Oryzias latipes: one gene and its partner. The protein of the gene in region 2 interacts with the protein of the main gene of each other region in a pairwise test. Links are inferred from orthologs where the notes say so. Each region holds a gene or a part of one and is shown on either strand. Other genes may lie near its edges.

Region 1 (4,523 bases), on a different chromosome or scaffold from region 2:
AGAAACATCTGAGAGGATTGAAATGAGAGCTTAGCGGAAGATGATGGAAAAACGGCTGGACGGACCTCATGAACGGAAAAGGATCCTTTGGTGGATGACATCATTACTTTACGTTCTTTACTGTCGATGGCAAAAGTCATCAAAGCTCGACTCTCCTTTGAAAAGAAATTAAAATAGGACTTTAGTGCCAGACGGGCAGACAACCAATTTTAAAGGCAAACTGTTTTAGAACTGAAACACTGAGACAAAAGGATGAACTGAAGGTGACACACTAAAGAAAAACTGCATTTTTATGAAATAAAAAAAAAATAGTTTTGGTGGAAAATGAACCCATTTTTTTTTAGCAAAGTTAGAATTTTTATTAGCCTTTAAATTTGTTTATCCTCCCCTGAGCTGGAATCTGGATCTAAACTACACAGCTGGATTTTTGTTTCACCAGTAAAGTTAGGTCAGGGGTGTGATCTGATGAAAACCGACATCCATGTTTTAGGGATTCTATGAAATGTGACTTTTTTTCATGAAAATTAAACCATAAATTGAGAACTTTTTGTTAAACTTGCTTTCTGATTATATTTCTACATTCAAAGCAGCAAAAATGAAGATTTTCAGGTTAGTGTCAGCATCTTTGGTTGACCTTTTCCTGAGCTGAGGTGGGGTCAGTGATGATCTGCCCGTATGCGCTGATGGCGCAGGTCACGCCGCAGAAGAGGCAGCTCATCGGCAGACCTGCGTCCATGAGGGCCATGCAGGCTGCATTCAGGCAGCAGGACAGGAGCTGCAGAGCAGGTAAGGAAGACGACTCGGCAGGTGCTAGGCCACGCCCCCCGCGGGTTCAGAGGTCGGGTTTAGTAAAGGATACAGAGCCGTCGTCGTGCAGCACCTGGAGGACCAGCGTGAGCGAAGATCGAGGGTGGAGGGTGAGCAGCAGCGCCTCCTCGCAGGTTTCACGCACACACTGCTCCTGCGAGCGCTCCCTCACACCTGGAAAACAGAGGCATGATGGGATATGAGTTCAAAGCTGATAAGGAATCCACTGGCTCCCCCTTATGGCGTAATCCTATAAATCAGTTGCACAAAACATTCCTAAAGAAAGACTTTAATACCTTGATCGGACCTTTGTCTTAATGCTTATTTATAAATTGCAGAACTGTTGAGATACGAGTGAGCCTTCAGATGAAACTAAAACCCACATGAGACCTGAGGAAGTTCATCTTTTTACTGTGATTCAGTAGAAATAAAACAGCATCTGTGATTTCCATTCAACCCAAAGACATGAATGAAACCAGGCTTAAGAGGATATTTGCATATAAACATTTGAATCCATTGAAAGTGATTATAATTGTCTCTACATTTAACAGACTTCCTTCTTTAAAGCTGGATTTATTCATTTTAGAGCAACAAAAACAAGGATTAGTAGTTGTTTTTGCTTTTTTTCTACAACAGATTAAAAACAAAAAGGATTGAATTGGTTTCAGAAAAACCAGACACACGTGACAGCATCTGACTTTTCCAGGACATGCAGCAGAACTTACTCGGCAGACCAACTTTGGGCTGAACCAGCACCTCCAGAGTTGCTCGGTCGTAGATCTCCTTACTGACCTTTACTTCAGCAGGTCCATAAACTCCAGCCATCACACTCGTGTCCCCTCCAGAGACACAAAAACAACACAAAGATCAAAGTTCTATTAAAATAGAGGACAAACCTGAAACAATGATGTGATTTCTACATTCTTATTGTGTCTGTAAACTTTGATCTTGGCTATAAAACATAAAAACAGTGTAAATCTTGCAGTAAATGCATGACCAAATCTGCTGCTTAGAGTGGTGGTTTTGGTTCAGTTTCAGGTTTACTGTAGAATTATTACATAGTATATAATTCATTCATCTTCTAAACCCGTTTTGTCTCTTTCAGGGTCACAGGCCTGCTGGAGCCTATCCCATACACTATATTAAACAATATCTTGAAAAAAAAGAATAAAAAAGAAGATGGGGTCATATTAAAAAAATAATTTAAAGCATTACCCCAAAAAAAAACTTTTATAGGGAAATTATTAGAAAATCTTTGAAAAAATGTTGCTCCAAGACCCCAGACTATACAGTCCGATGCCGGCGATGTAAACAGTTCACAATGACCACTAGGATACAAATATTCAAAGATGATTTGGGGAATGAAAAAAAGAGGATGAGTAAACCAAGAAATAAATATTTAAATTTGAGAGAGCTGATCTGAACACAGAAAGTAAAACAGATGAATCCAACATTTCAACATCTTTATTTATAGAAAAATGACTAGAAATTATTTTTCAAATGTTTGGCTTCTTAATGGTTTAACAGCAGTTGACTTTTGATTACAAAAAACTAAATGTGAAAAGATAAGTTCGTAAAAATATTTAGTTATTATTTAGCTGCTCATTTTTGTTCTTGAATATTAACAATTTTACAACATTTACCAAGAGCTAAAACTAATGCAAAACCAAAATAAAGCAAATACAAAAAGTACTTTAGGACATTCTTAGCTTAAAACTCATTTAAAGATCGTTTGCCAGCAGTCGAGAGTCAAATTATTTCTCTGAAATAATAAGTTTGTCCATAATTCTTTGGGCGGAATCGGGAGTTGTACTCATATTCTTAAAGAAAAAAGTCAACATTTTCCTTCAGCTGTTACCTTGAACGAAAGACGCAGATCCATCCGGCCGAGAAAGTAAACTCTGCTCGCAGCCAAACTCTCGGAGAGAAACATTTGAAGGAGCAGAAACCTCCATCACGTTGCCAACACGGAAGGGGATGCGTCGCTGGACGATGACGTCATCTATTTACCGACGCGAAGGGGCTCTGCATCAAAACCAATGTTGTGTTTTAAATTTTGTGTTCAATAAAAAACAGTCAGAAAGTCAACAACAAAGTAAGTAGTTTAAAAAATATATTATTAACATTATTATTATTATTATTATGATTATTGCTATTGTTGTTGTTGGACACTTTTATTACGTGTCTTTATTTTCCATATAAAATGTATTTTTTACGTATGCCTGTCATTTAATTGGTGTCAGTATTTGACATAAAGACAGCAGGTAATGCAGGCAGTAAAACAGCTGCACTTTTTGAGATTAGACATAAACAATGGATCATTTGTTAATGAATGAATTAAGGCTTTTTGGAGAATTTTTACTGTTGGTGTTGCACAAAATTAGGAAAATGCCAAAATAAACTTTGATTAATTCCAGTGAGGAGTTATATGATTTAGTTTTTAATGTTTTATAAGACCTATAAATGGTTTTCATAATAGCAGTTTAAAAAAAAATCAAATCCCTTTGATACGTTTCACAAAGACACACACAGCACGTCACACAGCAAGCAGAAATGAACTTACTTGCTGACAAAAAATTTGACAAAACAGCAAATAAAACGGAATAATTTGAATTAAATATTTCCAGACTTTGTTTATTTTGTTCTGCAGCATGTTCATATTTGTATAATTTTGACTGAATATATTTTTATGGAGAGCACCGTTATTAACGGTTTAACTTGATTTATTCTGGATTAACAATACTGTCTGTTTTTATTCATTTTTATGTTAAAAAACCTCTGTTATAAAGGTTTAAAAGTATTTTTTGTTTTGTTTTTTAAAGTGTAGCTTTAGTTTGGTAAATAAATGTTGTTGGGCCCCCAACTTAAAGCATGTTTTCTGTTTAGGCCCCCTGTGTGAGTGAGTTTGACACCCCCGTAATACGAGCCCACAAAATTCACGCATCTTTTGTGTAAAATGGCCAAATAAAAATAGGGAACACAAAAGAACGTCAAATTGCACTGGGGAGTTACTCTCCCTGGGAGTAAGTTAGTGCAGAACCACCACTGCAGTCAATAATCAATGAATAATGTCAGAAATGATGATTTATATGTTATTAATTCTAAATAACGTTGTGACAACAGTTGCTATGGGGAACTGCCATATGGCACTTTGTGTAGCATGATAAATAATACATGCAGCACAGCTAATTCTTTCGCAGAGGGAAGAATTCACCGATAAATGAAACTATGCCTTCATGTCTGGATCAAAGTTTTATCAAAACTGCAGCAGTGGAGAAAGTGGTTGCCCCAATCTCCAGTCACCTTTGTCTCCTCGTGCTGCTGTGCGACAGTGAACATGAGCCAGAGCAGTTCACCCGGCTGGAGGCAGCGGCTCACGCTGTGGCCAGAGCTACTGAGAACATGGCAGCAGTGGCCTCCAGGTATGTGCATTCCTGCTAGTCAATTACATCTGCCTTTGTCAATCCACAAGAGACCGAAGTGACTCTCTGTTTAGGCAAATTCAAGAGACGGATGATGATGTGTTGCACATGGAGATGTCCGCCCTTCTTGAGTCGGTCACCGTGTCGGGGCAGCATGTGCTGCTGGCGGCTCAGAAACTCCACATCCAGCCAGGTTTGACGGAGCACAGAGAGGAGCTTATCACTGCCACGCAGAACGTCTTCCTGGGAGTGGTCAAAGTAAAGTACAGTTCTGCAGAAATGTGTGGAATTTTT
Region 2 (3,818 bases):
GAGGCTTGTCCTATTCTAGCAGGGCTGGGCCCACGGTTCTGCCCCCCCCAATCACACTCTCGGACCTGAGTCCCCCACTCGCTGGGGCTCGAGGAGGAAGAGGAGGTGAAGGAGGGAGTGGGCTCCGGCAGCGGTGAAGAACATAGCGACCGAGACTGAAACGCAGAGGAATTTAAATAAGGGCCCCCTCAGCTCCGTTCGACCGCCGTGAATGACAGGTACTCACCCTTTCACAGCCGCTCAAGCGGCCTGAAGACCTTTTGGCGTGGGCCGCTTTCTGAGGAGCAGGTGCCGCCACGTCAGCTGTGTCCTGTCTGAAGTTGTGTTTGGAGCCTGAAGGAAATACAGAGCTGCTGAGTCCAAACAAGCTGGCTCCAAAATCCAACCTTCAATTCAACCCAGATTTAGGATTTGGCCAACATTCAGCATCTGCTAGATTTGGTACAGTCCACATTGTCAATAAGCTATTTGACAATCATTATATGCAATAAATTTAAGGGGATATATGTGAGTACTAATATGTGGAAATATGTTTTTTTGATTTAAAGTTTATTTTTACAATTATATTTTCAAGGAGATAGCCTTATTTTCTTATATTTTTTTATAATCAATTAATGAATTCATAACTTAAAAGGTTTGATATATTTAAGTATGTATTAATGAACCAATTTCAAAGAAAACTTCAGAAGCCGTGAACAGCCTGCCTTTCTTCTTTTTTTCTCCCCTTTTCTCGTAATATTACCTCTCTTTTTTACAAGAAAACAATTGTTTTTCTTGTGATAATAAGATCATGGTAGCACGAGAACACTGAAAATTGACTTTTCCATTTATGATCACCTGCTTGTAGACACGGAAAAAACATTCATGCATCGCTCTGTAACCATGTTAACGGCCTGGTCCCTTCATCTGCTCACTGATGAAATTGAAAACAGCAACCGGAAAAACTGTAGTCAAGACGTTTGGAGAGCGTAGCCACGGCAACAAATCAAAAGCGTTTCTTTGCCGTTGTTGGGCAAGCTGTACGGCTTAGTTTACAGCCTACTGTAATCACAAAGTAAAGACACCTAAAACAGATTACAACTCAGCGTCTGAGTGGGGGAAAGGGACGCTACAGTTTATTCTTATCTCGACGTCTACGATCTCGTTATCAAAAAAAAACTTGTTAGTATATAGTAGATGTAGCTATCATGAGAAAACTGCAAAAAAAAAGAAAGAAAAAGGCAAGGTAGGCCGCTTTTAACTGCTTTTCCCCTCATCAGATAAATAAGAATTGTGATATTTATTTTGTGAACATCTTTTAAAATCTGCGTATTTCTGCCACTAAAGGATGACTCAATGCTTGCTGAGAAATACTTTTCAAAACGTATTTTTGATTTGTAATTTGCAGAAAAAAGTTCAAATGCGTCTAAAATTTGACAAATACTTTAAAATACGTCTATTGAATCTACAAAGAGTAAAGCTAGATTTGCAAGAGTTGATCTGATGGTTTTGTAGAAGGTTTTCCAGCGTTTCTATGGAGTTAGAAGAGGAAATCTAGTGGTACCCCTCTGAGAGCTGATGGTGCAGCTGATCTGCGTGTTCAGGTTCAGGCAGTCCTGATCTTTGTCTGTTGAGAAACAAAGGTCCTCCTGGGGCCCTGAATGCCTGGTGAGGGGAGGGGCGTTCCTGCGCGGTTCGCTCTCCGAAGATCGATGTTTTCTTCTCTCCCCCCCCTTTCTTGTCTCTCCTTTGCCCCCTCCTTCCTGTGACTTGGAGCCGGAAACCTCGTTAAATGGGTTGTGGACAGAGTTCCAGTGCGGCGGCTCGTTCTTTGGCTGGGCTTCGGGTAAAGAGTTCAAGCTGGAGTCGGCCCCCGGTCTGCTGCCGCTGCTGCCGGTGGGGCCGCTGGAGCTCAGGAGGGGGGGTATCACCCCCCCGGCTGCTGCAGCCAGAGAGGACTGATGAGTTGGACTGCCAATCATTGTTATTGCAAACGGGTCGTCTGAGGTGACAGGAGGGGGGAGGCTGCGGTCCCGCTTTCTGTCTCTGCGGTTAGACGAGGATGATGAGGACGAAGAGGAGTGGGTTGGGAGGGTTTTGGTGTCTGTGAGCGAGACAGTAAACGGGTCTCCGCGAGCCTCCTTGCCCCTGCCATCCTGGGACTGGCAGGGGGGAGGGCGCGTCCAGGGGTCGGAAAAGTTCAACGTCTCCTGAGTGACCGTCCTCTCAAAGACGGCTAGGAAGGGGTCCTCAGTGGGAATGTGCTTGCAGTTCCACACAGAAGGCTCCATCTCAGGTGGGGGGAACTGAGAAAAGGCAGTAAACTGAGAGGCGGAGTCCTTCTCTGGGGGGCCACGGGAAGGGCGTGTGGAAGGGGCAGACCAGGCATAATCGTCCTGTGAGTTTGCACTGCGTCCAGGGGTGGGTTCGTGAAAAGCAGAGAGGAAAGGGTCCACCGGTCGCCCCAGGGTTTGTGTCTGCTCCTTGCTCTGCGACACTGGGGGCCAAGCTGCCCAGCCCGTCGGCTCAGGGGAGGGTCCCAAAGGCTGATGGGAGGGGGAGTCCAAGCCTGAGTCCTCAACATTCTCCGGGGAGGAAGAGTCAGATGAGAAGGCGGCATCTGAAAGACAGTAAACAGGTCCATCAGTGAGAGTTCCAGACCAAACAGTTTTTCTGAAACTAAAGGTGCAAAAGTAACCAAAACCTCGAATCCAAAGAAGATTTTTGATTCTGTCTGGATAAATACAAACATTTTAGACTTTCTTGGGAGTGCCCTGACGTTCTTCATCTTTGACGTAAACCATGCGTTTGTGGTCAGACATCAGTGTCCGCCTGTTTTTATCTGGACTTTTTACAGAAAGTCATATCAAATCTGCTTCATTCGAGTCAGACTTTAACATCTAGATTTTCAAAAATACCTTTCTGCAATGATTTATGAGTTTGAACGAAAAACAATGGTTCAAAGTGATTCCATGAAACGCAAACTTTATTTTTAAAGTACAGATGTAACTTTAAAAAACTGGAATTACACTGTGTGAATATTATATTTTAAAAATAATGATCTGAATTTTGGGGTGTATTCAGACCAGAAAAACCCGTTGGTTGTTGAAGACTCTCGTTCATCCAGGTGGCGTTATTATGGAGCCATGGCAACTGGACTTAAAATATTCTTTCGCCAGTGACGAAACTTTTCAAGAAAGAATATTTTAAGTTCAGTTGCCATGAATAAACTTCAAGATTCCATCATAAATGTTTTTTTAAATTAATCAAATTTTCTTAATGTTTGAATGATGTAGCAGACGACCTGCAGCCGTGCTCCTCGGTTTGGCGGCAGAGTGAGCGCTCCCACTGTGGCTTTCAGCCTTTTCTCTGCTGCGGTTGCCGCTGGTCACCAGTCAGCCAGGTCTGGATGTGGAATTTTTCTGGCTCCTCATCATCAACCGAAGGACGGATTGTATTCAGACTGAGGAATGTCAGAGCGATCTGAAGCTCAGTCCGACTGGAAACGAACCGAGACCACCTCGAAAATCGAGAGAAACGAACTCTTGTTGGCTTTAAACAAGCCAAATGTGTCCAGTCTGAATACACCCTTGGTTTCAGAGAAATGGGTGCAGGTTCATGAATGGAAACCGATTTTTCTTACATTCAGAAGCTCCAAAAGTGTTCTGCTCTCTGAGCTGTTCCTGACTATCAAAGCTTTTGGATTTGAAGGCCATCTCCAGCGGAGGTCCAAACAGGCCGTCAGAACCCGACGCCGTTGAACTTAATCTGACAGAGAGGGGCGGGGTAAATGAGACACAGTCAGGGAAAGCAAATAGGAGCTGAAGCATAGAGAAGCA

Evidence for each region.
Region 1: the proteins of F-BAR domain only protein 1 (region 2) and exosc5 interact in binary tests that used the Homo sapiens proteins (3 or more experiments, as listed by UniProt). The two-hybrid records come from large-scale screens. The link is inferred for Oryzias latipes from reciprocal best matches to the Homo sapiens genes FCHO1 and EXOSC5.

Annotation. Positions count from the first base shown.
Region 1 is NC_019873.2:26,312,790-26,317,312, forward strand, and holds the start of exosc5 (exosome complex component RRP46), read right to left. Parts: upstream 2,809-4,523; 5' UTR 2,763-2,808; coding exon 2,666-2,762; intron 1,647-2,665; coding exon 1,533-1,646; intron 982-1,532; coding exon 860-981; intron 776-859; coding exon 635-775; intron 156-634; coding exon 66-155; intron 1-65. Other genes in the region: catenin alpha-1-like, read left to right, coding at 4,036-4,229, 4,304-4,487. UniProt on the Homo sapiens protein: Non-catalytic component of the RNA exosome complex which has 3'->5' exoribonuclease activity and participates in a multitude of cellular RNA processing and degradation events.
Region 2 is NC_019862.2:14,978,391-14,982,208, forward strand, and holds part of F-BAR domain only protein 1, read right to left. Parts: intron 3,748-3,818; coding exon 3,623-3,747; intron 2,600-3,622; coding exon 1,544-2,599; intron 334-1,543; coding exon 227-333; intron 156-226; coding exon 1-155. UniProt on the Homo sapiens protein: Functions in an early step of clathrin-mediated endocytosis. Has both a membrane binding/bending activity and the ability to recruit proteins essential to the formation of functional clathrin-coated pits.